3 linked regions of the Arabidopsis thaliana genome follow. The protein of the gene in region 1 purifies or fractionates together with the protein of each later gene. This does not show direct contact. Each region holds a gene or a part of one and is shown on either strand. Other genes may lie near its edges.

The links.
Region 2: the proteins of AT5G15400 (region 1) and Fes1C fractionate together in Arabidopsis thaliana (co-fractionation; one large-scale study listed by BioGRID). This does not show direct contact.
Region 3: the proteins of AT5G15400 (region 1) and Fes1A fractionate together in Arabidopsis thaliana (co-fractionation; one large-scale study listed by BioGRID). This does not show direct contact.

Annotation. Positions count from the first base shown.
Region 1 is NC_003076.8:4,995,708-5,007,971, reverse strand, and holds AT5G15400 (U-box domain-containing protein), read left to right. Parts: upstream 1-4,718; 5' UTR 4,719-5,064; coding exon 5,065-5,924; intron 5,925-6,395; coding exon 6,396-6,600; intron 6,601-6,741; coding exon 6,742-6,893; intron 6,894-6,980; coding exon 6,981-7,254; intron 7,255-7,527; coding exon 7,528-7,680; intron 7,681-7,779; coding exon 7,780-7,983; intron 7,984-8,064; coding exon 8,065-8,177; intron 8,178-8,287; coding exon 8,288-8,405; intron 8,406-8,560; coding exon 8,561-8,650; intron 8,651-8,730; coding exon 8,731-8,934; intron 8,935-9,013; coding exon 9,014-9,109; intron 9,110-9,192; coding exon 9,193-9,315; intron 9,316-9,397; coding exon 9,398-9,490; intron 9,491-9,574; coding exon 9,575-9,739; intron 9,740-9,844; coding exon 9,845-9,934; intron 9,935-10,031; coding exon 10,032-10,208; 3' UTR 10,209-10,483; downstream 10,484-12,264. Other genes in the region: AT5G15420 (uncharacterized protein), read left to right, coding at 1-21; DND1 (Cyclic nucleotide-regulated ion channel family protein), read left to right, coding at 1,209-1,237, 1,616-2,285, 2,454-2,669, 2,856-3,175, 3,273-3,384, 3,477-3,713, 3,800-3,886, 4,003-4,512; AT5G15390 (tRNA/rRNA methyltransferase (SpoU) family protein), read right to left, coding at 10,717-10,851, 10,939-11,077, 11,151-11,212, 11,306-11,444, 11,959-12,264. UniProt on the Arabidopsis thaliana protein: Ubiquitin-protein ligase that may function as an E3 ligase in conjunction with specific E1 and E2 ligases. May also function as an E4 ligase mediating the assembly of polyubiquitin chain assembly on substrates monoubiquitinated by another E3 ubiquitin ligase.
Region 2 is NC_003076.8:421,580-430,372, reverse strand, and holds Fes1C (Fes1C), read left to right. Parts: upstream 1-3,994; 5' UTR 3,995-4,160; intron 4,161-4,256; exon of another isoform or gene 4,257-4,278; 5' UTR 4,279-4,304; coding exon 4,305-4,390; intron 4,391-4,583; exon of another isoform or gene 4,584-4,587; coding exon 4,588-4,730; intron 4,731-4,814; coding exon 4,815-4,865; intron 4,866-4,958; coding exon 4,959-5,180; intron 5,181-5,292; coding exon 5,293-5,395; intron 5,396-5,522; coding exon 5,523-5,892; downstream 5,893-8,793. Other genes in the region: AT5G02170 (Transmembrane amino acid transporter family protein), read right to left, coding at 92-154, 249-292, 401-572, 666-801, 895-1,114, 1,197-1,377, 1,456-1,479, 1,569-1,783 and 2 more; AT5G02160 (uncharacterized protein), read right to left, coding at 3,349-3,490, 3,734-3,981; AT5G02140 (Pathogenesis-related thaumatin superfamily protein), read right to left, coding at 5,936-6,092, 6,168-6,840, 6,935-6,989; NDP1 (Tetratricopeptide repeat (TPR)-like superfamily protein), read left to right, coding at 8,415-8,613, 8,708-8,793.
Region 3 is NC_003074.8:2,867,676-2,876,760, reverse strand, and holds Fes1A (Fes1A), read right to left. Parts: upstream 5,792-9,085; 5' UTR 5,546-5,791; coding exon 5,460-5,545; intron 5,374-5,459; exon of another isoform or gene 5,074-5,373; coding exon 4,931-5,073; intron 4,842-4,930; coding exon 4,791-4,841; intron 4,676-4,790; coding exon 4,454-4,675; intron 4,333-4,453; coding exon 4,230-4,332; intron 4,139-4,229; coding exon 3,652-4,138; 3' UTR 3,429-3,651; downstream 1-3,428. Other genes in the region: AT3G09360 (Cyclin/Brf1-like TBP-binding protein), read right to left, coding at 1-98, 222-359, 597-677, 785-871, 974-1,056, 1,181-1,293, 1,414-1,470, 1,594-1,670 and 4 more; AT3G09340 (Transmembrane amino acid transporter family protein), read left to right, coding at 6,235-6,386, 6,478-6,752, 6,894-7,108, 7,196-7,400, 7,486-7,705, 7,793-7,928, 8,020-8,188, 8,284-8,327 and 2 more.

The sequences.
Region 1 (12,264 bases):
CTACATGCAATATTAGAATGAGTTTGAACAAAGTTATTCATCTACCATACCCATTTATTCATCTGCACTGTATCCTTAGTTATTTATTCCAATAAACGCTGAATTTTATCCAACCCAAAAATAAATAAATAGAAATTTGTGTTCGATGTGTGTGGTCCGCTGATATTGGTCGTCACTCGAATTATTAATGCATGATATGGATTTGTATGACTGTCAAATTTTTGGAAACTTCACTGTCAGGTACGTGTGTACTATATATGACCACAAAAGTGCATTTTATCATATATATTAGTAAACTAACTGTAGGTAATTTTTTTATTTTAAAAAGTGTAAGCAATAATGAAAATTGAAAAAATGAGAGTATTATGCTGCAAAAAAACATTATAGTAACTGGAGTATCTCTGTATCTGCAATCAACAAAGGCTTAATTACGAGATTAGGCTGGTCGTATGTCTCCGTTGTTATATCATAGGGATATGGCGTACGTCAACATGTATTCAATCCGTAATAAAAACACATATATAACAAGTATCAATTGACGGCAAACAAAATATAGTATATAACAAACATATATATCAATAATTGAGTCAAATACATCTATCAGTAAATGTTAATGACAACGACAAAAATCATTATCATGAAAATCTGTTATTTGTATAATTAATGAATGTTTGACAAAAAAAAGTATAATTAATGAATAATATCAAATGATAATATGCTTAAATCGTACATTCACTAAAATATCTTCTACTGTATTTATAGAGTTAGAATTATGACATCTTCCTATATAAAGCAAGTAAATTTGTAAACTTATCTAAAAGTTCAATGATTAAACGTAAAGAAATTACATTTAAAATGATGGGTCCATTTTAACGTAGCAATCCTCATGATCTGTACGGAATCCAATTTGTTCAATGTCTATTTGTGGGCCGTTTTGCTAAGCAAGCCACCACATCTCTCAGACACTTGACAGCTCATCATCTCCCCCTTGTCAATCCCGGTTCGGTTTCTGATTTAGTTCGATCTTCGATTTTAGTTATTAAACCGGAATCTCCCCTAACAAATAAACCGAATCCTACTAAGAGACGTACGTATCACACACAAATCTTGCGGCTTTGCCTCTCTATACAAATCACTCTTCTCTCTCCCAATCACTCCCTGCAAATTTTCTTCTCTCCCTCTCCCATGGTGGTTCCTCTATTTCAATCATGCCCTCTCACCCCAACTTCATCTTCAGGTTTTTATACCACACAATTCCCATTTTTTTTCATATCTATATTCGTTCATTAATGGTGCTTTCACGCTAAAACACTCCCGAATTCTGAATATGTATTTTGTGTCTTTTGCTGTTTACCCAGAGGTTACAAGCTTTACCTGAGATTGATTATTTTTCCCCGAGAAACACTTTTCCCGGAAAATTCACTCGTTTTTTGAACTGTTCTATAGCTAACAAGTCACCATGCAATTCCTTATAATCTCGCTTGAGTATGCGAAATCGTTCATCTAGCAACGAAATCGATTTTCATAATTGTGTACTATATAACGAATGTGAGATGATTCTGAATGATTTTTGGCGATAGATTGCTAATTCCTGATTACAATTTGAATATTTCAGGTGGATTGGACTGTTTTCCGATAAGTTCCGTCGACAAACGACTGGGATCGATGAAAACAGTAACCTCCAAATCAACGGTGGAGATTCGAGCAGCAGCGGCAGCGATGAGACGCCGGTGCTAAGCTCCGTCGAGTGTTACGCTTGCACACAAGTAGGCGTCCCAGCTTTCCATTCAACTAGCTGCGATCAAGCTCACGCGCCGGAGTGGCGTGCCTCCGCCGGCTCTTCTCTAGTTCCGATCCAGGAAGGATCTGTCCCTAACCCAGCCCGAACCAGATTCCGACGTCTCAAAGGTCCGTTTGGTGAAGTTCTCGATCCTAGGAGCAAGCGCGTGCAGAGATGGAACCGCGCGTTGCTTTTAGCTCGTGGGATGGCTTTAGCGGTGGATCCGCTCTTCTTCTACGCGCTTTCCATCGGCCGAACTACCGGACCGGCGTGTCTTTACATGGATGGTGCGTTCGCCGCGGTGGTCACGGTGCTCCGCACGTGTCTCGATGCTGTTCATCTTTGGCACGTGTGGCTTCAATTCAGACTGGCCTACGTCTCGAGAGAGTCGCTTGTCGTTGGTTGTGGGAAGCTCGTTTGGGATCCACGCGCCATCGCGTCTCACTACGCACGCTCTCTCACTGGCTTCTGGTTTGATGTTATCGTCATCCTCCCTGTCCCTCAGGTGAATTTTCAGAACAACCTTCCAACTATTCCAATATTATGAAATTAACCCTAAACTTTTTATTACTATCAATAAAGCCCATATTTACATTTGAAAGTGTTACCTGTTGATGAATCATGATTTGAGATGCAGATAAGATGTGAACTTTGTGTTTTTGCTTGTTTGCAGGCAGTGTTTTGGTTAGTTGTGCCGAAACTGATAAGAGAAGAGAAGGTTAAGCTGATAATGACGATTCTGCTGCTAATATTCTTGTTCCAGTTCCTCCCCAAGATTTATCACTGCATCTGTTTGATGAGAAGGATGCAGAAGGTCACTGGTTACATTTTTGGAACTATTTGGTGGGGTTTTGCTCTTAATCTCATCGCATATTTCATCGCTTCTCATGTAAGTCCTCTCAAGCTAGATATTGTATTTCTGCCTGAATATAATGTCCTGCAACAATAGGTTATATTCAGGTCCTAAAACAAATGCAATATAACAAATCCCATGTGTATATATATAGTACTACTAAGGTCTGTCCTAAGATATGAAATTAAAGTTTGTTGTTTATGGAAATTCTGGTGGTTTCAGGTTGCTGGGGGATGTTGGTATGTTCTCGCAATACAGCGTGTTGCTTCTTGCATAAGACAACAATGTATGAGAACCGGGAACTGCAATCTGAGTCTGGCTTGCAAAGAAGAGGTCTGTTACCAATTTGTGTCACCGACAAGCACAGTTGGATATCCATGCTTATCTGGAAACCTTACCAGTGTGGTCAATAAGCCTATGTGCTTAGACTCTAACGGACCATTCCGATATGGTATCTACCGTTGGGCACTTCCAGTCATCTCCAGCAACTCTCTTGCGGTTAAGATCCTTTACCCCATCTTCTGGGGCCTAATGACTCTCAGGTAATTGCTTTGTTTCTGAGCTTAAGGTTTACATCTTGGATATAAAAAAATTCTCTGATTGACATACTGAATCTGTTTTGGGGGTCGCGTTTTACAGCACATTTGCGAATGATCTTGAGCCCACAAGCAACTGGCTCGAGGTTATTTTCAGTATAGTTATGGTTCTAAGTGGCTTGTTACTTTTCACGCTGTTGATAGGAAACATTCAGGTAAACTATGCAAGAATATGTCTTTTCTATGATATTGTGTTTTCATGGAATGTAAGATTTTAAAAAGCTTTTTACTTTACAATATTTTGAAGGTGTTTTTGCATGCGGTAATGGCGAAAAAAAGGAAAATGCAGATACGGTGTAGGGATATGGAATGGTGGATGAAACGTAGGCAGTTACCTTCCCGGTTAAGACAGAGGGTTAGGCGATTTGAGCGGCAGAGATGGAATGCCTTGGGTGGTGAAGACGAGCTAGAACTTATACATGATTTGCCTCCGGGTCTTCGAAGAGATATCAAACGATATCTTTGCTTTGATCTCATTAACAAGGTACTAGGAAGCAGACTTTATACAATCTTGTTAAGACTTGTGAAAGCAGTAAGTGTTAAGTCTCTGACATGTTTGATCTTTCTCAGGTGCCATTGTTCAGGGGCATGGACGACTTGATCCTCGACAACATTTGCGATCGGGCTAAGCCTCGAGTCTTCTCTAAAGACGAAAAGGTACTCATCCCATCATTTCTAAAAATTTATATTTCCAATATTTTGCTTCGGTTTCGGTTTAAGAGTTTACTTGAAGAGTAAAATCTGAGGTTCTTCGATTTTGTTGATTGTCACAGATCATCCGTGAAGGAGATCCTGTACAGAGAATGATATTCATCATGCGTGGACGAGTCAAACGTATACAGAGCCTAAGCAAAGGCGTCCTAGCCACTAGTACACTAGAACCAGGCGGTTACTTGGGCGACGAGCTACTCTCATGGTGCCTACGTCGCCCGTTTCTGGACCGTCTTCCCCCTTCCTCAGCAACATTTGTCTGCCTAGAAAACATCGAGGCATTCTCCCTCGGATCCGAAGATCTTAGGTACATTACCGATCATTTCCGTTATAAATTCGCGAACGAGCGGCTTAAGCGGACCGCAAGATACTATTCCTCAAACTGGAGGACGTGGGCAGCGGTAAATATTCAGATGGCGTGGCGCCGGCGTAGGAAAAGAACCCGTGGTGAAAACATCGGCGGTTCGATGAGTCCTGTGTCGGAGAATAGCATTGAAGGTAACAGTGAACGCCGGTTACTTCAGTATGCAGCTATGTTCATGTCCATTCGACCGCATGATCATCTCGAATAATAATAAAAAGTTCCAATTTTATATCGGTCCAAATAATTGTGTGTTCATTGTTCCTCCTCAATTGTTTACCTTTACTTCTTTAAAAAATCTTTCTTGGAATGATACTTCAACCTCTTACGGTTAAGTTCAAAGTAGATTTTTTGAGCAACAAAATCTTGGAGGAGTTTATCTTGGTAATTTTTTATTTTTTATTTTTTATTAGCAGTAAAAGTAATTGTCTTAATAAGTATAAACGACGTCGTTAGTAAGTACGACGTTTGCATATATCCTATATAGACTTTTTGTCCAAGCTCAGGACTTGCTAAAGCTCGTTCAGAGACTCCAAAAGAGTTCATAAACAAAAACCTACTCCCAGAAAGTTCTTCCAAATCTCTCGCCATGGTTTCTCTCTTCTTTCGTGAATTTTAGTTTTTCTAAATTTAATTATACTTTAAATTGCTAAGTCCAAACTCTTTCGCTTTTGATTCATCGGTAATACAAGTTTAAGAAAAAAAATTCTTATATTTATCTCTCAAATCGAGTTTCGAGTGTTTGATTTGATTCGTAAAATCAATGGCGACGAGCAAACCTCAAAGATCGCCGGCTGAAATTGAGGATATAATCCTCCGGAAGATATTTTATGTAACCCTAACGGAATCAACTGATTCCGATCCTCGTATTGTTTACTTGGAGATGACGGCCGCTGAGATTCTCAGCGAAGGTAAAGAGCTTTTGCTTTCTCGTGATTTGATGGAGAGAGTTCTCATAGATCGTCTCTCCGGCGACTTTTCCGACGCCGAACCGCCTTTCCCGTATTTAATCGGTTGCCACCGTCGTGCTTACGACGAATCGAAGAAAATCCAGTCGATGAAGGATAAGAATCTGAGATCGGAGATGGAGATTGTCACTAAACAAGCGAAGAAGCTTGCTGTTTCTTACTGTAGGATTCACTTGGGGAATCCTGACATGTTTGGGAACTCGGATAAACCTAGTGGTGGATTGGATAATAGGTTGAAGAAGAGGAATGTCTCTCCGGTTCTTCCGTTGATCTTTGCTGAGGTTGGTTCTGGTTCGTTGGATATGTTTGGAGCTAGTAGCAGTGGGGTTCAAGCTCCTCCTGGGTTTTTGGATGAGTTTTTCAAAGACTCGGATTTTGATAGCTTGGACTCGATTCTAAAGGAGCTGTATGAGGATTTGAGGTCTACGGTTATAAATGTATCAGTGCTTGGAGATTTCCAGCCACCACTGAGGGCACTCAAGTATCTTGTTAGCTTACCAGTAGGAGCTAAATCTCTGGTTAGTCATGAGTGGTGGGTTCCACGGGGTGCCTATATGAACGGCCGAGCAATGGAGTTGACTAGCATTCTTGGGCCTTTCTTCCATATTAGTGCGCTGCCAGATAATACACTATTCAAGAGTCAACCTGATGTTGGGTGAGTTCCAACTTATTTATGGGTTTCTATTACTGAGAATCATGTAGTCTTTGGGGCTCTTTTCTTATTGAGAAAGTTTGGATAGTAAGAATTATTGATTAGCTTTTACTCATAGTAGAGAGACTTGATCAAAAAAGGAAAAAAGCAGATATATTTGGCTTATATATGATGCCACTGTTAGGTTGTATACATATTTTAAGCATGATTATATAAATTTAGCATAGTTAGATGATCAGTAGAGGCGAAACCAACAGAAATATTAGTAAGCACTATGTTAAGTTAGAATATTGTGGATGAAATCCATTATTTTGAGCATTTTTTCTGGTCTGTACTGAAGAATCTTGATTGTCCATTTAGTATTTGACAAGGCTTAATTGTGCGAACATAAGAGTTTTCCTGATCCACCTCAGAGGATATACTTTACCTGTTATGAAAATGCTGATATATGTCTATTGTTTTTGTGAATATCAGGCAGCAGTGTTTCTCTGAAGCATCGGAACGTCGTCCCGCAGATTTATTATCATCCTTCTCCACGATTAAAAATTTCATGAACATTTTGTACAGCGGGCTGCATGATGTATTGATGATTTTACTTAAAAGTACTGATACCCGTGAGCGTGTTCTACAGTTTCTTGCAGAGGTGATCAATGCAAATGCGTCTAGAGCCCATATACAGGTAATCATCCGTTTATAAGATGCATATATACTTCGGATCTTTATTCATGAATTGCTATTGTCTCCTCTCGGTTTTATCAAGTTGGTATTTGTCTTTTTTGCTCAAATCAGCATTCTGTAATATGTTTATCTTGTATGACAGGTTGATCCAGTCTCTTGTGCTAGCTCAGGCATGTTTGTTAACCTTAGTGCAGTAATGCTCCGGCTCTGTGAACCATTTTTAGACCCACATTTAACGAAAAGGGATAAGATTGATCCAAAATACGCATTCTGTGGCCATCGCTTAAAATTAAGGTATGGTCCTCAAGATGATTCTACTTGTATTTCCTCACTGATTTTAATAGTTTCATGATGAGCAATATTATTTATGATCCACACCAGCGACTTGACCGCTCTCCATGCATCATCCGAAGAAGTTACTGAGTGGATTGGCAAAGATGCTATGGCAAACGCAAATGATGCTGGGCGAGAAAATGGGAACGAAAGTCGCTTGTTACAATCCAAAGAAGCCACAAGTTCTAGTAGTAATGCTTCTGGGCAAAATGCAAAGTCAGCAACTAAATACACTTTCATTTGTGAATGCTTCTTTATGACTGCTAGGGTCCTCAATTTGGGTCTCCTAAAAGCACTCTCTGACTTTAAACATCTTGCTCAGGTAATCATCATCACAGTTTTCCCGTCCTGGAAATATTGAAGATTTTTTGGAAAAAAAAACGACTTGTGATAAATTATCTTGCAGAAAGCTCTTATTTGATTTGGTTCCTTACATATTGTCTTATTAAGGCGTTTGTTAGTTAAAACGAGAAGGGACTATAGCAAAAACTTGAACTTAGTCACATGTTTACATTGTGAAAGTGTCATTGATTCCTGAATTTGCAGAAGATTGTTATTGTATGGTTCTTCACTTTTTCTTTTCCGCATGACGTAGGACATCTCGAGAGGTGAAGATAATCTTGCAACGCTAAAAGCCATGAGAGATCAAGCACCTTCTCCACAGTTGGAACTTGATATATCCCGAATGGAAAAAGAACTAGAGCTGTCTTCGCAGGAAAAGCTTTGCCATGAGGCCCAAATATTGAGGGTTTGTAATCATATTCTCTGCTCTGATAACATCTTCGGCTTTTCCTCTGGACCGGTAACATGATAGTAATAGCTGCCTTATCTCTATACTGTATTGAAGGATGGAGATTTTATTCAGCGAGCTCTGTCTTTCTATCGCCTAATGGTTGTTTGGTTAGTTGGACTAGTCGGTGGCTTTAAGATGCCTCTACCGTCAACTTGCCCTATGGAATTCTCCTGTATGCCTGAGCATTTTGTTGAAGATGCAATGGAGTTGCTGATATTCGCTTCAAGAATTCCCAAAGCTTTGGACGGGGTGCCGCTGGTATGCTTAGTTTGCTCTCATCAGTCTGTAGAAATTCTCTTTTTGTATTTGCACTGATGATGGTTGTTCTCTTTTCTTAAGGACGACTTTATGAACTTCATAATTATGTTCATGGCAAGTCCTGAATATGTTAGAAACCCGTATCTCAGAGCAAAGATGGTTGAAGTTCTGAACTGCTGGATGCCTCGTTCAAGGTGTTTTTCTTCCCATGAAAGAAAGCTGTACATTTGTCAATTTGTGTTGCTAATGCAACAAGTTCTGCAGTAACGTGGTCCACCATTCTAATTTTTTTTTTTTCCTGCAGTAGTTCTTCTTCTGCTACATCTACTCTCTTTGAGGGACATCAGTTATCGCTCGAGTATCTTGTCAGGAATTTACTGAAACTATATGTTGACATTGAGTTCACGGGTTCACACACTCAGGTGATTGCAAGAGATTTTGTTTAGTGGCTATAATATTCCTGGAGTAATGAACTTCTCTCTATTGCATTGTACTTGAGAATATGTTAGCTCTGGAAGCCAGAATAGCCATTTGTTCTTGCTTTTATTGGAACTGAAATCTAGTTATCCAAATGCAGTTCTATGACAAGTTCAATATTCGCCACAACATTGCCGAGCTTTTAGAGTATCTCTGGCAGGTGCCTAGTCACCGAAATGCATGGAGACGGGTAAATTCTTAGTGAGCTTGCCATGACTTTGAACTTCAACTATCATGTTCCAATGTTTTTCCAAATTTGATGTGTTACAGATTGCAAAAGACGAAGAGAAGGGCGTGTACTTGAACTTCTTAAACTTCTTAGTCAATGATAGCATCTATCTTCTGGATGAAAGTCTAAACAAAATTCTCGAGATTAAACAAATCGAGGCAGACATGTCAAATACTGCAGAGTGGGAGCAGAGACCAACTCAAGAGAGACAGGAGAGAACAAGACTCTTCCATTCGCAGGAGAATGTTAGTTGGATTATCACTTCTTATATCTTGTTTCGTACTCGAATCCCGATCCCATAAAGAACTTTGATTTTCTTTGCAGATTGTTAGAATCGACATGAAGCTGGCAAATGAAGATGTGACTATGCTTGCATTTACATCCGAGGAGATCACTGCCCCTTTCCTACTCCCTGAGATGGTACCTGACCATATTCCTGAAATGATAACCTGCCCTATGATTACCCAACTGATGAGTTTCTTTGTTTGTTTGCACTTATTTAGGTTGAGAGGGTTGCCAACATGCTTAACTACTTCTTGCTACAACTCGTGGGTCCACAGCGTAAATCTTTAAGCCTGAAAGATCCTGAGAAATATGAATTCCGTCCAAAACAGTTACTTAAACAGGTTAGTAGTGATTACAATTACTCAATTCTCCTGATCAAAGTATGTGAGAAAAAACTGACTGATATGATTGTGAACTTTGAAGATCGTTCGCATATATGTTAATCTCGCAAGAGGAGACACAGTAAACATATTCCCTGGTGCCATCTCCAGTGATGGCCGATCATATAATGAACAGGTCAGATCCTTCTTTCTAAACCAAATCCTCTTTCATAATAATAGATGCGTCTCTACTGAACTAAACAAGTGCCCGTTTTTGCAGCTATTCAATGCAGGAGCAGATGTGCTTAGGAGAATAGGTGAAGAGGGAAGAATCATTCAAGAGTTTATGGAGTTAGGCACAAAAGCCAAAGCTGCTGCTTCTGAAGCTCTGGATGCTGAAGCTGCACTTGGGGAAATACCAGACGAGTTCCTTGACCCAATTCAGGTCTTTATCTGTTGAAAGAAACACTAATTTAAACCTAAATCTTGTCTTATTACCATGCACTAATGTCTGTTCTTGTTTTTTTCTTTTCCTTTTCTTTTTTGGCAGTACACGCTAATGAGAGATCCAGTAATACTTCCAAGCTCAAGAATCACAGTTGATCGTCCCATCATTCAACGTCATCTTCTCAGCGACAATGTAAGCTTATCTAACACAATGATGATCACTGATCAGTCACATCTCTCTTTCTCTGAAGATTTTGGCTTTGTATATGATCCTCTTACTTTTGCTGCAGCATGATCCATTTAACCGAGCACATTTGACATCGGATATGTTGATACCGGACATCGAGTTGAAGGCGAAAATCGATGAGTTTGTGAAGTCGCATCAGTCTAAGAAACGGACAAGTGGAGAAGATAGCAGCAACAAGGAAAGGATACAGACTACAAACAGTGATATGTTAATTGATTAATTATGTGTTCCAAAAGTAACAAAATAATAACAATTATTCAGGACTTTTTTTTTTTACTTTTGCTAGGCTTTCTTTTCTATTAGGATTTATCTATCTATTTTAGGGCTTGCTTTCCACTTATTTGATGCCACGGGAAAAAAACTTATAAATATCATGTCTAGAACTGTTTCTATCATAAGTTCGATGTGTTCACGAGTTTCTATGCATTTCGACGTTTGTTCATGGATTACTAGTTGGCATAAGAGTTATGAGTGACCAATTCTTGAAAGGCGAAATTTCTAACTTAATCTTTGATGGCGTGAGGTCGATGCAGAAGAATGGTGAAATCAACACCACTCACTCGATTGAAAAGGCAATACGTTCGACAGAAGGATGTCTTTTATAGAATTTAAGAGTTGTACATGAAGCAAGCGTCGTACCAAAAAAAGAGTTCGAAAGAGTTTTTATAGGCGTCATTCGAAGCCTATAACACGCAAAACAGCGAGAGAATAAGACAACGGTTTCAAAATTAGGAGGAGGTAGAGTGTTGTTGTTTACGTTTAGCGAACTCGTAAGCAATGCAAATTGAGCTTCTACTGTGACGAAGTGAGAACTCAGCCATCAATATCTCTTTCTCTGCTTCCGACAGATCTCCATGGCTTCCCTGTTTCAAACCCATAAAATGTAATTAAAGCATAAACTGAACTGGAAACTAACGTAAATGATTGTCTAGCTGTGTCAATAGGTTTACCAGACGAGTGGTTCTATCAGAGACTGCGTGGTGCATCAGAATCCCTGCAGCCACTGAGACATTAAACGAATCAACCATTCCATTCATCGGAATACTGCAACGCAGATCTGATAACTCCAACGCTTCGTCACTTATTCCCCTGCATATTCCCCAATCAATCCATTAAGAAATTATGAACCCTCAAATTTGGACTAAGAGATGATATTCATTACCTGCCCTCGTTTCCAACAACTATTGCTGTTGGGCATGACCAGTCCATATCGTAAATGGAAACCTATAAGATATTACCACCAAGAGAATGTCATTCATTTTGCCTCATAAATAATGGTGATGACAAATATATACAAACAAATCTTTAGAGGTTTACCGTGTCCATTCCCAAATGAGTTGTAGCTATTCTGTAACCGCGAGACTTCAAAACTTTGAAACATTCTTTAGGTGTGTCCCAAAACTCAATGTCCAGCCATTTCTCAGCTCCCATACTCACATGGCGATTTCCGTTATACCTACACATATATAATATACATTAACACACACATAGCACGGTAAATGAATTCACACAATGCAATCAAACCTTTTTTACATTTCAGTCAACAACTAATGGATCAATCTTTTCAGATATTACCTATGACTCTTGTATCACTGCATAGTTCAAAAAACCGTAACAATTCTCCATTCTATCTCGTATGAACTAAGAAAAAGGAAAGCCAACTTATGATCAATCTTGGACTCAGAAGGAAAATGTAATAGTAGTGACTCACAATCAGCGTAGATTCAATGTTTTACGGAAATTTAAGAGTCCTCACTTATCCCCATCCTGTGATCCAAGAAACATAACTACCAACTCATGATCTATCTTGGTAGCTTATGATGCAATCAAAAGTTCTACAGACTTCAATCACCAGCTTATGATCTCAGGTCACCGCACATTGTCTAAATTCAAAATGCAAGAATCCCTAGTTTCACCTCAAATCCTATGAATCAACAAAGAAACAGAAAATGCCAACCTCAAAGGGGCACCTTTTGGAGCTGTCACAGGAAACAACATGTACAGATTGAATCCCCAACGCATCAGCTGAGCGGAAAGCAGCAGAGATGTTTCCAAAATCAGAGAGACCTTCAACCACAAGACACACCGAGTAGCTTCGATTCTCCACCACACGCCTGAACCTATCTGTCCTCTCTTCCATCATATGAGGACTCACCGCCTCCAACACCTCACGGCTACTAAGATGCACCTCACCACACCTGAACCTATCCTCGTAAGGAAACCAAGATCCTCTACAATCACCCTCACCATTGCTTAAGCTACACCTCCGCTCCATC
Region 2 (8,793 bases), 4.6 Mb from region 1:
AAAATAAAAACTCTTTTCAGTCTCAATTTTCTACGAAGTATTGACAGTAAAAATATATAATCAAAATCGAAGTTTTCAATTATATTCTTACCTGAAAGTTAGTTAATCTACCCTTCATAATGCTGATATAACAGAGACACGGGAATATTAACGCCTGAAAAAGACCAAAACCGAAATCGTCAAGAACTTGTTTTGATCCTTAATTTTTCCGGCAATTATTGAGATTGATTTGTTCTTGGAGAACTTACGATAAGCATTGCGATGAAAGATCCAATCAGAGCCGCCACAGTAGCTGCAATTAACGTTGTTACATTAACGAGTTCGGTCATTGTTTTATACAAAGGGGTTTCTTGTGCAAGAAGTTAGGGTAACTAGAAATTGATAGAGAGAGATAGTTTACCGAAGAATGGAACTGTGAGTGCAACGACCAAAGTGGAGAGAACTAATATGGTTCTAAAGAGCATAGAGACACCTTTGGATCTCATCTTTCTTGATGAAGACGGTATGAGTTCTTCTAGGCTTAGCATTACTGGAGTGATCGTTAAAGCGTATTTCGTCATTGGTGTTACGACCTAATCATACAAATGAGATAGGAATTGAGAGAAAATTATTATGAACAGAATGTGAAGAAGGTCTGAGATTCTTGATTTGGAAGGTTATCTAACCGCTGTCCAGACTGCGATTTTAGATGAGGTGAAATGTGGTGGCATGTTCAGTGTAAATTGGGATTGAATCGCATCACCAAACATCGTGAATCCACAAACCGCTACCGCAATGTAAAATAGAGTGCAAAACGCAAAACTACATAACGCAACAAACAATTATTTTATGAAATGAGAAGTGATGAAAATTAGACCTAGAGGTTTCTTGCGCTATAAGCAAAAGTTGTTTTACCTGATGAGAAGCACCGTAGGAAACTTGGAAGGTTCTTTCATGGATGAGTAAATGTTGGGGAAAACAGAGTGACTCCCGAAACCGAACCCGTAAATTCCGATTGCGACAGGTATGTTAGTTATATCAAGAGCTTGTCCGCTTATGTGAAATCCAACCCCGTCTACTGATCCAGCCCAAAAGAGGCAAAGCGCAAGCAAGATTGAGGAGATGACACCTCCGGCTAAGGAAACAAAACATTTCTTAAATTTAATTAAAGAGTTCAAATCTCAGAGATTGTTGTGTGTGCCAATTACGAGATGAACCTGAGAGATAGGACAATAAGCTGAGGTCTTTGAGCCAGACAGTAGGAAGAACAATAAGAGTCGTGGTAATGGCGAAAACTTGAGTAGAATCTAAAGAAAATCCGTTGATGTATAAGGAGGTATTTGGGAACATTCTTGACAAATTATCACTCATCATGATTATGTATTCCACACAAGATGCCTACAGAAAAAAATTCAAAGTTAGGACCTCAATTTCTTCAATCATGATATGAAACATGAAAGAGAGTTTGGTACTTACGTATAACTCTACGTAGAGAAGTATCTGAAATGTAATTCCAAACCCAAGTTAAGTTAGGATCACAATTCACACACAAACAAAGTTAAGATTGATTATTTGAAAAATAATCTTACAGAGACGAGGATGCGTCCAGTGGTTCCGAATGCAGCTTGACCGATGTCCGGGTAAGTGTGGATTCCAGGGGAGTTCTCGAGACATCTCTTGAGGAGAATGCCGGTGTAGAAAGTGATAATGCCAAAGGAGAAGAGTATGAAAAGCCCTAACCATCCTCCTTCTTTAACTGCGTAAGGCATTGTAAGTAAAGCTACTCCACATAGAACGTTAATTCCTGCAAAAAGAGAATGTTAAGAATCTCAATCTAAATAGAAAAGATAATCGTAAACTCAGTACTCTCGCACTAATGCTATACTAAACGTAAACTCAGTTCATCAATATATATCAGATTTGGTTTCAGTTTGATTATTTGACTAATCTTGGAAAACAGAGAAAACCTAACCAAAACTCAGATTGAACATTCCTAATGCAATTATTACCGTTGAGAACGGATTGAGAGAATGTGCAACTGCGGTTTTCTTGGGGAGTTAAAAGATCCCCTGGGACTGATAGCTGGAGATGAGAAGCAAGAAATGATTTGATGGAGGACACAACAGAGCTTTGGATCTCGTCTTTGTCTATGAGAAGTTGCTGTTTGCTTGGTGAAGAAGTAAACGAACCGAAAACAGAGCTTTGTCGTCTCTGGCGAAATGAAGAGACAAAACTTGTACTAGTCGGAGGTGTAACTCCAGTCAACAAATCCATAGATTGTCTGAAAATATCCCCAAGAACACCAAAATTATTCTCTAAAGAATAATTTCTTCAGATCTCTTACAAAAACAGAGCACTTAAAAAGAAAATGATTTACCGATAACTTCGAGGCCACGGAACGGGAACGTCTTCGGATCTGTTACGAGATAAAGGAGTTGAGGGAACGGAGCTCTCTGTTTGGCTTTCTTCATCTTCCTCATCGAACGTGTGATACAAATCTTCCCTTTCTTGATCGAATGTCTCGTTTTGCTTCATCTACTTTGTTTGTATTCTTCTACTGTGCTCTGTTTCAAAAACCAACAAAAGGTCTAAAAAGAAGAAGAAGAAGATTGAGAAGAAGCAACTAGGGGACGCAACGAAACGTGTTCTGTTTTCAAGTTCTAAATTATTGTCACGTTTCTTTATATTCTTTAATTAGCAGTCTCCTTACCTATGATGATGTCTCCCTGAATTTGTTTTTCCCCATAATTTAAATGTATTAATGAACAAATTCACGATTTTCCCATTATTCCACCAATAAGATAAATTTAATAATGTCCCATTATCCTATCACTACTAAATCTAAGAAACTTCAAGAACAATTCAAAGAATCTTCTACTCTGACGCGTAAGGTTCATTTACAAAAAATTTAGTTTTTATACAATAATACTATTTGCTTGAAAAAATATAAAAACGTTTCTGGCGAGGTTATTTATAAAACACAGAAATAGACACGTAATGAAGATTAGTTGATATGCATGTGATGTAAGAAGCCAATGACAGTTGGGTCATTAATTGGCCATTAAATGTTCATCTCTAATTACTTATGCAGCAGTTAAATTTATTTTTTGTTCGTTTTATTTTGGTAGCTGAGCACCTTCGTCTATAACTGCTTAAAAACTTACAATAATACTCAGACAATTTCTTACAGAACAAGAAAGCAAAGAAACTTACACATAAAAAAGCAATTGTATATATATATATATATATATATATCCACCCATCTCCAAGCAACCATTGATCATTCCAAGCTATCTACTTTTGCAGAGGTATATTGTAGAGAAGAAGAGGAATGAGAAATGGAGCTTTTTACATATATATGAAGAAGACTTATGATTTATCAATCTGGTTAAGCTTTCCGAGTCCATTGCAGTTAGCACAAACGATCTGAGGAAGATCCTTCCGTGCGGCGTTGGCTCTCAGAGTCACTCCTCCTTTCCTCACAAATCCTGCTCCGTCACATTCCGGACACCTAAACCACACACATTTCAGAGCTTAAACTCACAATGTACAATCTCTGATTCAGTTTACTACATCGGCTAAGAGTTTATGTACGTTTTCAAAATCCATAACAGAGGATTTAGTCCGGTTAAGATAATTCGAATGTTGAACCGGACAATAAACTATGATAATCTGCAATTGATCAGTCAAAATTTGGTTTAACGAGCATTAAAACCGGTTTAAGTCACAAGGTAAAAAGATGAGAGTGGTTTACGTGTCTTTGCGTTTGAAGAGGATCGGGAATGCAGTTCCGACGAGTGCAACGGCGATGGCTCCGCCGATTAAGTAGATTGTTCCGTCAGAAGAGACATCACCGACGGCGGCGACAACTACGGAGGAAGAAGATCTCTTGTTTTTGGGAAGAATCACATTGTTCGGTGATGGTGATCCCCACGAAGAAGAATGTTTCAGGAAGTTGGTTGATGACACGAACGTCGTCTGCAATGCCGGTGCGATCGTCATAATTTAGGGTTTTAAGTGACTGATTTCGATTTGGGGGAAGTAATAAGAAGAAGTGATTTGATTTTTATGGAAAGGTTTTGAATTTGGATTTGCTTCGTGACGTGTCACTCTCTCGAAGTGGATAACGTTTTCACTTGGGATTTTTGGGGTTCTTCAGTTTTCTTTTGTGTGTGGATAAGGTAGGCCCCTTCAAGATATTTCGAGTTAACAATTGGGCCTGTTAAGCCCATTATTAAGTTAGCGTGAACATAAGGCCCAAACTATTTGTCATTGTCTCTGACTCTCTGACCTTCGCAGAGTCTTTCTCTTCTTCCGTTGCTTCAATGGCGAAAGACGGACCTAACTGGGACGGTCTGCTTAAGTGGAGTCTCTCTCACTCCGATGGTACTCGACCTACTTGCCAATTAAGGTACGAAGTTTCTTTGTAATTTCAGGTTTTGTTGGTCACTTAGTGGAGCTTATGTTGTTTGTTGGGTTGTTTTAGAAATTTGCGTGGTTCTGCGTCAGTTTCTTATGAGGAATGAATCATGTAGTGGAATTTGACTATTTGATTTGGTATTGTTTGGTAGATGGTTTTTGATGATATGAAATTGTTTGGTTAGACAGTGAGGAGGATCGAAAATGGTTTGCAGAAGCTATGCAATCACAAACGGTAGATGTAGTCAAGCGGTTGAAGGAGATTACACAGGTATTGCAGACACCTCAACAAGTTTTGGAGGCTCATGAAGTGACCCCTCAAGATATTGAAGGTTCAATATGGAGTTCACTATTGTTTTCTTAGCTATTTTCTCTCTTGTTGGTTACTAAGATTTTGAGTTATGATGATTTGGTAGGTTTGTTGGATGAGTTGCAGGAACATGTTGAATCGATTGATATGGCTAATGGTGAGTCTTTTCATACTTTGACCTTGTAACTTTGTTCTATATCTGTCTTTTGATTGCTGGGCTTAACTTGTACTTCTTTGAATGTATGGGCAGATCTTCATTCCGTTGGAGGCTTGGTACCTCTTCTTGGCTACCTCAAAAACTCCAATGCTAATATCCGGGCTAAGTCTGCAGATGTTGTAAGCACAATAGTTGAGAACAATCCTCGGAGTCAAGAATCAGTTATGGAAGCCAATGGTTTAGAGTCCTTGCTTTTAAGGTTTACTTCAGACACCGATATGCATTCTCGAACACAGGCTCTCGGTGCAATATCATGTAAGCTGCTCTGAGTTCTATCCTATATACTTAGATGGTCGAATGCCTTTTTCAAAAACAAAAATGTCTATCGTAAATCTGATGAATGTATTGTGGTAAATTTGGGGTACAGCTTTGATTCGCAATAATAAACCTGGGATCACAGGTTTCCGGATTGCAAATGGTTACTCTGGTTTAAAAGATGCTTTGGAAACTGATAGTGTGAGATTTCAAAGGTAATAATACTCTTCACTTTTCTTCATGCTTGGATTCCTCTGAACTTTGAGAGAACACAAAGTTGTAACCTTTGTTCTGCTGTTGTCTAACTTTCAAAACTTTTGTCATTACTTTCTCATTCTTCAGGAAAGCTTTAAACTTGTTGCATTATCTTCTACAAGAGAATGACTCAGACTCCGATATTGCTATAGAATTCGGGCTTCACCATTTGATGATGCACCTCGTGTCTAGCTTCGATGCTGATGTAAGAGAAGCTGCTCTTCGAGGATTGCTTGAGCTCGTGAAAGCTAGAAAAGACTGTAGTACTTGTGGTTCTAGCATAGTGAAAGGCGATGAGAGACTCAGACAGATTCTAAAAGATCGGATCAAAGCAATCAGCCGGGTCAAAGCAATGAGCTTGTTTATGTCACAAGAAGATCTATCAGCCGCTAAAGAGGAGAGGCAGCTCTTAGATTCACTATGGACCACAATCTTCAACGAACCTTCTTCTCTTTAGAGACAAAGATACAAAGAGACAAAACCGTCTGTGCTTCCTTATATCATGAGTAAGCACTAAAACCGTCTTTTATGTCTTTGGACCCACCAGCTAAAGCTTGTGTCTTTAGAACACTAGTTAAAAGGATGGTAACCACTGTATAATGACCAAATTTTGATTCTATTTTGAGTTCAAATTTTCTCAGTTTCTCATTCAATGACCTAAAAACAGACCGTACAAGTACCAAATCAAGCTACTGCATGATAAACATAACATAAAAATCAGAAGCCTCTCACTTTGGAGGACAGAAAGTGATAACATAACGAGAAGCTCTACACTTATTCAAACTACTAGAATCATCAAACGCATAACTATAAGCTTTAGGACAAATCGCTTTAAACAGATTCGCGAACAGAGTCGGCTTACACGCCTGAGGATTCGCATATTCACCGGTGCAACAATACTTAGCCGATTGCATCGCCAAGCAAGCACTTTTACAACCAACCACTTTCCCATCTCTCTTAACTTCCAAAGCTGATGGACAACAAATGTTCAAATTCACTTCACAAGCCGCAACGCCACATCCAACTCCACCGCCGATTGGTTTCATCGACACCGGAAGATTGAAACCGTCGACGAGACTTACGTCGTAGAAATGAAGCGGAGAGGAAGATGAGCCTAATGTCATTTCTACTACGGTTGCTGGTGGTACACCGCCGGTTCCTTGGCAGTTGATAGAGCCGTCGTTGCAGTCTCCGGTTTGGCATGAGCCTTTACCGTTTTGGTTAAAGGTGCAGCCTTGTCTACCCCAGATTCGACCGGACCATTTATCCGGTACGTCTATGATGGTTTCTTCGCCGCTTCCCATGTGGAATCCGCCGTTTCTTGGTGTGATTTGGCCTCCGCCGCCGAGAATTCCCGGCCAAATGCTCTCCTGGCAGTTATTCACTATTATAAGCTGAGCTCCATCTGCAAAAGAACAAAGTCACTATTATTGAGAGGAATCAAAACGAGAAACAAAACCCATTTCATAAATTATCGAGAAGGAGAAGAGATATCGTACCAGTGAAGGCTGAGATAGTGAGAAAGAGAAGGAATAGAGTTGCAGATTTCGTCATTGTTGTTGATGTTGTTGTTGTTGTGTGGGGATATATCACTTCTAAAGTTTGCTTTTGTGTGTGTTGTGGTTGTTTTCAAGAGAATATTAATAAAGAATATGTTGAGGACGTCGTGGTCGAAGGAAGAAGTGGAAACTTGGGTTGCAAGACTAATATTGGTGTGGTGAAGTGGATTGTTGTATAGGGAACTGCCAAGTGCTAACGTTTTATAAACTGAGACTTTCATGGGATTAGTGGGAAAGAGAAAGATATGGAGGCTTGATCGTGAGCCTTCTTCTATGAAGAATGGGTTAAAGTTGGATTTAAAGAAAAAGAGAAAGATTCATATGTCTCTCAAACGTTTATTATTGGATAAAGATTAACACTCATAGATTTCTTCATCATTGCATTTCTTTAAGGCAAATTTGTTTATACTTTACAATCCATAACTAATTTTCAGACCTAGCTAAAATCTCATTGTCTAACATTTTAATTATTCTTAGAAATTGATTTGATATTTTTGAATATAGTTTTATAATTTTTGTAATAATGTCGTAATGTTACCACCTGAATTCACTGTTTTGAGTCTATATGAAAATTGTAATAAGGAAAATGTTAGAGTGCTTCACTAGAGTTTTGAACTTTTGATTTTATATGTCAGTTTGTTTTTCTTTCAAAAATTATGTTATATGTTATCTATGCGTATATAAACTTCATCACTTGCTAGTAGCCTAGCATGTCCCAACATTTCTTACCTTTGCTATGACCTTTTTCACTTTGTACATCAAATCAGCAGAGAGCATATATGCATTACTTCAATGAGAGGATTTGCTTTGTTTTTAAACAAAGGCTATATTTACACAAAACAAATCATTCTCTTTTTAATGTTCTTATAATATTTTGTTGGTTTTTGAAAGGTAATAATAGAGATCGAAGCCAAGAATGTCACTAGAGTCTATAGACTTGCTTTTAATAACAGGTGGGGAGGTTGAAGGTTTTGGTGGGTAGGTATCTTGCAAGACATACATATAACATATTGATGAGTACTACTTGCTCAATATTACTTCAAGCTGAAGCAAAATAACATATGAAACCAAATTGAGATAACACTTCAAATCATATTGCAAATGTAAAGAGTGAATTTGCACAATGATTTACAAAGTGAACATATACAACAATGGATTATAAGTTCTTTAAAAACCACAACAACAAAAAAAAAAAAAAAAAAAAAAAAAAAATTCTAGAGGAACTTTTGGGTCAATTTTTGGTTTATTTGGTTATCACAAAACCAAGCCAATTATACCGATTTTTCCAAACCAAACTCAAATTATACCGATTGAAATTGGCCACTCTTAGTGACGACGGCGAGGAAGAGCTCCGCCGACGTTTACTGAGTAAAACCTTTACTTCTGAGCAAGACAAGAAAAAAGAAGATATTGAGCGATTATGATTCGCGCAGCTGCCAAATTCTCCAGAGAAGCAGCGGCAACGATTCGTGGCCGCACGATCTCCGTTAGAGGAAACCTTATTCGATACTCGACGCCATTGAGATTGATTCACGGTGAAATCAGCGTTCCAAACGCGAATCATGTTGCTATTCAGATGGTTAATTACGCTCTTTCTCACGCTAGGTCACAAAAATCAGGTCTTTCTCTATAGTTATAAGGATTTTAGGTGTTTAAACTCTAAGTCTCTGACTGAATTCGAAATGGGTCTCTGTGAATTCTGAATTTTTGCAGATGAATCTTATGCTCAAGGGATGCTAGTGCTTGAGCAGTGTCTTGGGAATCAACCTAACGATGATCAGGTTTCTCATGATTCTAAA
Region 3 (9,085 bases), on another chromosome or scaffold:
TTTTCTTCTCTAGCTGCTTTTTCCATTCGCTCTTTCTCTGCGCGCTGGAAAGCAGGAGGATTGGACCCACCAACAAGTCCACCAGAAACATTTATGAACTGCATTAAAAATTGCAAAAGAAAACATTTGATTGTTAACTCTGGGAACCATTTGTCAACGACTCGCAACTACGTAAACAGAAGACGTGATTAGAAAAATCAGGAAATTAACCGGTGACCTACATCTTTGTAGCAGTCTTCACATAGTCCATAACCAAAAGGTTTACTATCCTGATGCATACAGAGCACCGCCTCTTTATTTGAGGTTGGTTTCATGGTAAAAGATCTTTTATGCGATTCTCTTTCTCTGAGCTCATTAACCTAGCCACATATGTACAACCGTTAAAAATGAACATAATTCTTCAACTGATATGAGGCAAAGCAAATCGAGCCTGTGACACTATTGCATATGACAACAAACCAATAGCAGTGGAACATGCAATATTATAAGTTATAACTACTATGACGGCGGAACCAGATCCTCATATTTAACCCAATGTGTGCTGATATGACCAGATAGCATGTAATTCTGCTAGACACTCATTAGCCTTAACTCACATTTAAATTTCCAGAATCCGTATCGCCAAACTCAATCAATCGTTTGGTGAGAGTTGCTTCACATATATGCACAATGTTTACCTGGAAGTAGAAAACACACCAAATCAGTACTAAATTAGTGAATTAAAGGCTAAAACACTTTTCCTCTCATCTAAAACAATATTTCTTTATAGCCAATCATATCTTACAATATCTGTCTTAGAGCACTTGATACCATGAGAAAGAGCAGCTGTGTAAAGTGCTGCTCCACATATTCCACTAGGCTTCCGGCCGGTCTGCAAGCCAATACGTAGCTAATATTAACATAACTCATAATTTAATTAACTCTAAGGCAAAGCGTACATAGGAAACGATACACTAACATAACAAAGTCACACCTGTATCCAATCTCTCTTCATACTAGCTATAATGTCTCTAGCTGTTGCCACAACATCTTTATTATTTTTTCCTTTCAATAAGCCTGCAAGAGTATGATGAAACAAGTAGGCTGGGTTAAGTATTCAATATAACTGTTTGTTTCTTGGCTGATGTTCTGCATCAACCAAATACAAAAACGAATGGTAGCCAAAACATGACATACTTACTGTTTGAGAATCGATCCATGAAAATTGAAGGATCAACAAGCTTTTCATAATTCCGATTTTCCACAAGGTACAGCATTTCACAGAGTTGTAAGTATACAGAACCTAACTCATAACTGCACAATATTTGATAAAACCAAAACAGCAAAGCCTGAATTGTCATTGCAATAGACTTAACATGTAATTAGGTTGCAAAAGAAAGAGAACAGTAGGGAAATGAAAAAGAATCATCTTACACGCTAACTCGAAGGTAGCTTGAGAAATCAATAAGAAGCAACGCAATGTTCAATTCCCTACAGATCATGAAATTTTATGGTTAACATACAGCGAATAAAACATCAACTACATAATTCAGCAAGGTATTCTAAAGAGGAAAAAACATAGGAGAGCAATAAGACGATTACTAGGAATCTAACCTGCACGTCAAGTAGAGGCAGGAAGCCTGTACTAGTTCAGTTCTGCGGCCTTTCGTGAAATTCTGCTCAACTGCCATCTGCAGAAGATTAATGGAGTTAAAAGAAGGGGTAAAAGTACTTTACAAATTAATATTCAGAGATTAAGTAAACCAACCATACTTCAAAGAATTTAGCTGCGATGACAATCACATCATCTCTCTCATCACCAATCCCCAATGCATCTTTCAAATTCATAAGCTCATCTCTAGCTGCCAAAAAGACGAAGGTCTGTCAGATCATAAGAATCAAAATTGCATTAATGTAAAGAGTCTAACAATGCAATGGTTTTTGAAACAGTCACATGGCCTGAATTTGGAAGTAAATTTAAGGATGGGTTAATGAGTACACATACGCAATTACTGAACTGAAAAGTTCGAAATACAATAAAAAGGGAAGGGAATAGCTCTGTCAAACATAAGCGAAAGCTGTAGAATAGATGTATCAGTTGCAGAATTTGGGCCAACAGCGAACACAGATACATATACATATACAAAAAGGGGCATACCTATTCTAAATCTCCTTTCACGTGAGCTTGTAATCCCACTTTGAACACTCCTCACTATGTTACCTGATGCTTGGCTCTGCAGAAACAGAAATAATTTGTAAGCTTGAACCAAATTGTTCAAAGAAACCAAAGGCTGTATAAATCTCAAGTAACTCTGTGGATATCATCACTAAAGAGACAACAGTCTTGGAAACAAATCCATTGTCAAGTCTATCGATGATATTTCTACTGGTTGTGGCTAAATAAAGCTGGTTGCTTAGTGCATTTTCTTATACTTCGGTAGTTTTGACCTTTCATATAATATGGTCTTTGCAAAGTTTCAGTCTGAAGGAAAAAGTTCATCTTCGCATACAAACCCCACAGAACATTTAAGCAGAGATGTGATAACAGTTCCAAGATTCTCCAACTCATATTCTCACATCTCTCTAATCCTACATCCTATTAATCACATCCGCAAACCACTAGACACATCGAGAACATCCGAAGAAACATATGTAGCACTAAAACAGAAGAGCTTCAAAAGAGGTAACTGAAGCTAAAGCTCAGCTGCGTATACCTGTCCAGCAGCATTCTTAACGAATGTAACTTCGGTAGAAAAATGGAAATTCTCCAATATCCTCCCACATAAATTACATGCCCTGTAAAAATCAAAAACGATGATATTTCATAATTCGAAGCTTGGAAACCACAAATCCAACAGAAACTGAGCTCCTAAAGAGCAAACCATAAGATAACAAAACATCAGTGAATAATCAAAAACACTTACAATGCACCATCATAAGGGCGTATTCCGGGAACATTCTTCACGCAATGGTTACACCATACCATAACTCCTTCACTCAAAAAGCTCCTACCTTAGCTTCTAATATCGATCCGAAACTCAGATTCGAGGCTTGAATCGATTCGAAACAACAGCTTCCAATCTTACTGCTCAATAGAAAGAAGATCAGACTATTTATAGCGAAAGTAACTGTTTTCACACAATCGTGCGAGGAAGTGGAAAGAATCAGGGTTTGATGAGATTATCTAGTTCACTGTAATTGTATCTATATAACAATACCGGAGTTGGCCGTGACGGCGACGACGGTGTTGAAGGCGAAGCTGAGAGACGTGACGAGAGATTTCTCCGATATGTGAGACTGCCTTGATTCGAACTCTGTCCCTTTAGGGATTGCAAAGTAATTGTGACGTTCGCTTTGGTTTTGTTCTTCGGTTCACCGCAATTCAAAGTTACCAATTTTAACCGATCAATTAGATCGGGTCCGTATTAGCTGTTGCTAAACCGAAATCGTATAGAACACTTGTTGAATTGAAAAAGCATTGAAGCTGAATATTCTTAATCTCAACAATAACAAGACTAAAGATCTCGAATGATGAAAACAAAAATTAACATAACATAGCCCTTGATCATTGACATAATACATATATCTATGAAACTTTTCTGACAATTTGAAAAGTTACAAAACATAAAAAACAAGGAAAAGTAATAAAAAGTTTTAGCTTTGATTTCTCGTCTATGGTCCAAGTAGTTTCATAGGTTCATCTTTCTTCTCAGTAGCATTACGGTTTGCTGCAGAAGCTCTAAGAGGAGGCTCAAAGAGCTTGCTAGCGACATCAGGAGGCAATGCGTCTTCACCGGGAAGAACGACAAGTCCTTTTTCTCTCAGAGAAGAAGGTTCATTGTAGCAAATGCTCCACAGTAAATCCACGAGCTGTCTCTCTTCTTTAACCGTTTCAAGATCCTCTTGTGACATCAAGGTGATTCCTTTGATCCGTTCTTCTAGTAGCTGCCTCAGTTTCTCATCGCTTTTATCTATGCTGCTACTTCCATCGTTTTTCTCTCTTGAAAGCTCAAGTAATCCACGAAGAGCGGCTTCTCTGATCTCAGCATCGTCACTAGAGGCAAGATGCATCATCACTCGGGGGAATCCAAGTCCAGTGGCAATACTGCGGTCTGAATCATCCTCTTGCAGTAGATATTGCAACAAGTTTAAGGCTTTCCTGGAGAATTTGAATAAAGAAAATGAGCAACAATTCAAGAATCTTCCACGATTTTATATCCGCAGATGATAAGAATATTTGTGTGGGTTACCTTTGAAATCTCACACTATCAGATGCCAAGGCGTCTCTTAGGCCAGCATAACCATTGGCAAGCTTGAAAGCCGTTACTCCTGGTTTGTTATGGCGAATCAAAGCTACATCCCATATTGAAAAGATAAGTCTCTTTTAGTATCACAAACCAAGTAAAATAGAAATCACAAAAGCTTTTGATCATCTCAATCTTTACTAAAAATGAACTATCAGAAGCAGGCTTACATGATATTGCGCCAAGAGCCTGGGTTCGAGCGTGAATATCAGTGTCTGAAGTGAAATTCGAGAGCAATGACTCCAGAGCATTGGTTTCCATAACAAGTTCCTGACTTCTAGGATTGTTCTGAACTATTGTGCTAACGACATCCGCAGCTTTTGCCCGAATATTAGCATGAGAGTTTTTAAGGAAACTAAGAAGAGGAACCAAGCCTCCAATTGAATGAAGATCTACACAATAGTAAGTAAACAAGTTGTTACAAGCAATGTTCAAATTGAGCTAACCAGAACAGGAAAGAAAAAAAAAAAAAAAAAAAAAGCAAAGTCCAAGTTAGAGATAATGTACCGTTAGCCATATCGATCGATTCAACGTGCTCTTGCAGCTCATCCAGCAAATCTACCAGAATAATAAACTCAATTAGTACCCTACACACAATGGCAAAAGATAAAGATCTAAGCTATGTATTATAGCCACAAATTACGCACCTTGGATATCTTCAGGTGTTACTCCATGTTCCACCAAAACTTGTTCAGGTGTTTGCATAACTAGTGTAATCTCCTTCATGCGTTTGACTACATCTACAGTCTGCGATTGCATAGCCTCCATAAACCATTTTCGATCCTCCTCACTGTCTCATTAAAACAACTCAAATCAACAAAACAATCCACAATAAAACACATACAGAATGATTTGACATGAACAAATCGTGAATTCCCTTAAAAAAAATTAACAGAGTTTCATGTAAAAACGAGAAAATAGATAACCTTTCACCTACATAACAGCAGAATTCGATAATTGAATCTTAACCAAACCGATGAACTGAACAGATATCTTCAAAAAAGAAAACTACTTTAAACAAACCCAGATTCGAATTCACTCATAAGATTCATCTCCTCAAGTGAAAGCTCAATCATAGCCACACAGATACCTAAACTACCCACCAAGCATCCCATCAGTTTCAGACAAATCAAAAGACAGAACCTAAAAAACCAACTACAAGATGAATGTCCGTACCTCAACTGGCGAGTGGGTCGAGTACCGTCGGCGTGAGAGAGACTCCACTTAAGCAAACCATCCCAATTAGGTCCGTCTTTCGCCATTGAAGAATTACTTTCACAGTGAAAAGAACTTGTAACAGAAGAAGAAATTACAAAACTCGAAGCCTTTTCGTCTTTGTAATAATAAAGAGGAAGAGTCGGCTAATCGCTAGTTTGGTTTTATAGAAGACCTGAGATTATTCGCGAAGCTACTACAACATTCTTAAAAATCTTAAACCTCGTCGACGACCTCTCAAGGGAAAAGGAAAAGCGAAGACGATGACGCCTCCTCCACAAATTGGGCCTTTAAGACTCAAGCCCAAATAGTTCAGTATTATTGGGCTTAAATTAGCTCGATAAGCCTTTCTTGAATTTACCTTTTTTTCTTTAATTTATTGGCAAATCTATGCCACGCATGTACCTTTTGACTTTGGACCTTTTAAACATGTGAACGTTACCTTCCACTCTAAATTTAACGACCAGTCGACCAGAATTTAATTCGTTACATATGATCAAGTAGTATCAATGGACTAATACAAAGTGTTTTTTTCCTAAGACTAATACAAAGTTGACAGACGTCAGACGTGACAACACATCGAACTCAATACCGAGTCTCTTCGTCGTCTCTTTATATTTCTTCCAATATTCATTTCACTTCTCTGTTCCCTCCTTTTTTTCCTGTTTCGTTTGTTCTGTCCTGGAATCTGTTACTTGCTCTGATTTAACTCTGTTTTGAAGCAGAGACGACGAAGATGGATCTTGAGGAGCAAGAAAGGGACATATTGATTCAGACAGATGACGATGACTGCCATGTCGATGTCTCATATGTTAATGACGACGATGATTCCAATGCATCTTTTTCATTATCCCAGAATGATTCCGCTTTCTGGCCTCAGAGTTATAGGTAAAATAAAATACTTTGTTTTTCGATATCTAACGAAATTATTTGAAGTGTTTGTGAAGATTCTTCCTTCTTTTTTTCATGTAAAATTCAGACACTCTGTGGATCTCTTGACCGGAGTTACACCTCCTATGGTCAGTTTCATACAAGGGAGAAGTACTGAGACATCATTCAGTAGCTCCATCGCTTCCTTATACAAGAGACGTCCAACCTCTATTGCAAATTCGTTTGTGTCTTCCACAAGCAAACAACCGCTGCTCTCTGAGAAAGACGATGTATCATTCCTTTCATCTCAGGTCGGGTTATCCAACACCGATCTCTCGTATGGAGAACCAAATTTCTGCTCGTTTCCCCAATCTGTTCTAAATGGTAAGACGTAGTAGTATCGATATTGATTCTGTCTCAAAAGTCTTTAGGGTTTAGGCATTCGGTTCGGTTGAATAGATTTTATCGTCATAACAAAAAGAAAAGTTTCAATCTCTCTTTAAGTTGAACCTATTTTTGGTGAAGGAATCAATGTCCTTTGTGGAATAAGTCTACTCACAATGCCTTACGCGGTGAAAGAAGGAGGATGGCTCGGGCTTTGTATACTCTTATCCTTTGCTATCATCACTTGCTACACCGGTATCCTCCTCAAACGATGTCTTGAGAGCTCTTCTGATCTCCGTACCTACCCGGACATTGGTCAAGCTGCCTTTGGATTTACAGGCCGCCTCATCATCTCCGTGAGTTATATGGAAATGATTTACATATATACTTCACATATCTCCAAACTAATATATAGGGTTCTTGATCTCTTTTGAGAGTTGCAGATACTTCTGTACATGGAGTTATACGTATGTTGTGTGGAGTATATAATCATGATGAGCGATAATTTATCGAGAGTTTTCCCCAACATTACATTAAACATCGTTGGAGTATCTCTAGATTCTCCTCAGATCTTTGCTATATCAGCTACTCTTATTGTTCTTCCTACAGTTTGGCTCAAAGACCTTAGCTTACTCTCCTATCTCTCAGGTTCCATTTTCTATCATAAGATCCTTCCAATATAGCTTCGAGATTCGTTCATATATTCTTTAATATGTGTGTTCCATTCTTTTAGCCGGAGGAGTCTTTGTTTCGATCTTGCTTGCTCTTTGTCTCTTCTGGGTTGGGTCGGTTGATGGAGTCGGGTTTCACACGGGTGGAAAAGCTCTTGATCTCGCTAACTTACCCGTCGCTATTGGGATATTCGGGTTTGGGTTCAGTGGTCACGCAGTTTTACCCAGCATTTACTCTTCCATGAAAGAACCATCCAAGTTTCCTTTGGTGCTTCTCATTAGGTGAAAAATCTCTTTGATTAAGGTTACTTATAATGGACTTCAGATAATATTAGGTCAAAATTTTCATTTCTCTGTTTCTTTTTGCAGTTTTGGTTTCTGCGTATTCTTTTACATTGCCGTGGCGATTTGCGGCTACAGTATGTTTGGTGAGGCCATTCAATCGCAGTTTACACTAAACATGCCACAACAGTACACAGCATCTAAAATCGCAGTTTGGACAGCGGTGAGATATAACTTTAAAACTCGGTAAACATGTTTGTCTCGACATATATATAATTACTAAAATGTGATTGGTTCTTTTTCTCTTACTTAAGGTGGTAGTACCAATGACCAAATACGCGTTAGCTCTCACACCGATTGTGCTAGGTTTAGAAGAACTTATGCCGCCATCAGAGAAGATGAGATCGTATGGAGTATCTATCTTTATTAAAACGATTTTAGTTCTCTCTACTTTGGTTGTCGCACTTACATTCCCATTCTTCGGTAAAATACTCTTACCTTCTTTTTGCATGAAACTATACAACAACAACAAAAAGCATCTTAATTTATCGTCGTTTGTTCTAATTATAACTTTGCAGCGATCATGGGGGCTTTGATGGGATCATTCCTCGCAACGCTTGTCGTAAGTCACCGTTTAACATAATTACAGCTATCATCGATTATATAGGCATATCACGTATGTTAAAAAGGATTCATATTTTGTTTACCGTGCAGGATTTTATCTTTCCTTGTCTTTGTTATCTCAGTATCTTGAAGGGTAGATTGAGTAAGACTCAAGTAAGATATATATATATATATTCTTTTTTTCTGTCATAAAGTAAAATGGTTATTGTTTAGAGTCAATATATTTTTTACATAATAATTTAATTTAAACTTTATCTATTTGATCTTTTGGCAGATTGGAATATGCGTTTTCATCATAATCTCTGGCATTGTAAGCGGTTGCTGCGGGACGTACTCCGCCATTGGAAGATTAGTAGGAGAATTGAATTGGATGGTACAATGAAGAACAATGAAACAACATATGTTAAATTGTGAAACAATAAGAGATTGTCTTTTTATATGAAATTTAACAGAGTGATCAAGATTTGTGAAACGTGAAGCAGTAATTTTAATACCGTAATGAAGCTTTGTTTTAACTTGTAATCTTCTATTTTCACAAAAAGATCTTAACCTTCGTCGACCTACTTTTTTTTAATTTATTTTTGACAAATCAAATCCATTCCAAATTTCCAATTCCACGCATATACCTTTGACTTTTGAACATGTGAGGGGCGGATCCAGAAACTTTTCTAGTATATGGCACATATACATTTATATGAAATATAGCGAGGTGAAAAATGAAGAGGAAAAATAACTGTCTAAGAAGAAAATTGAATC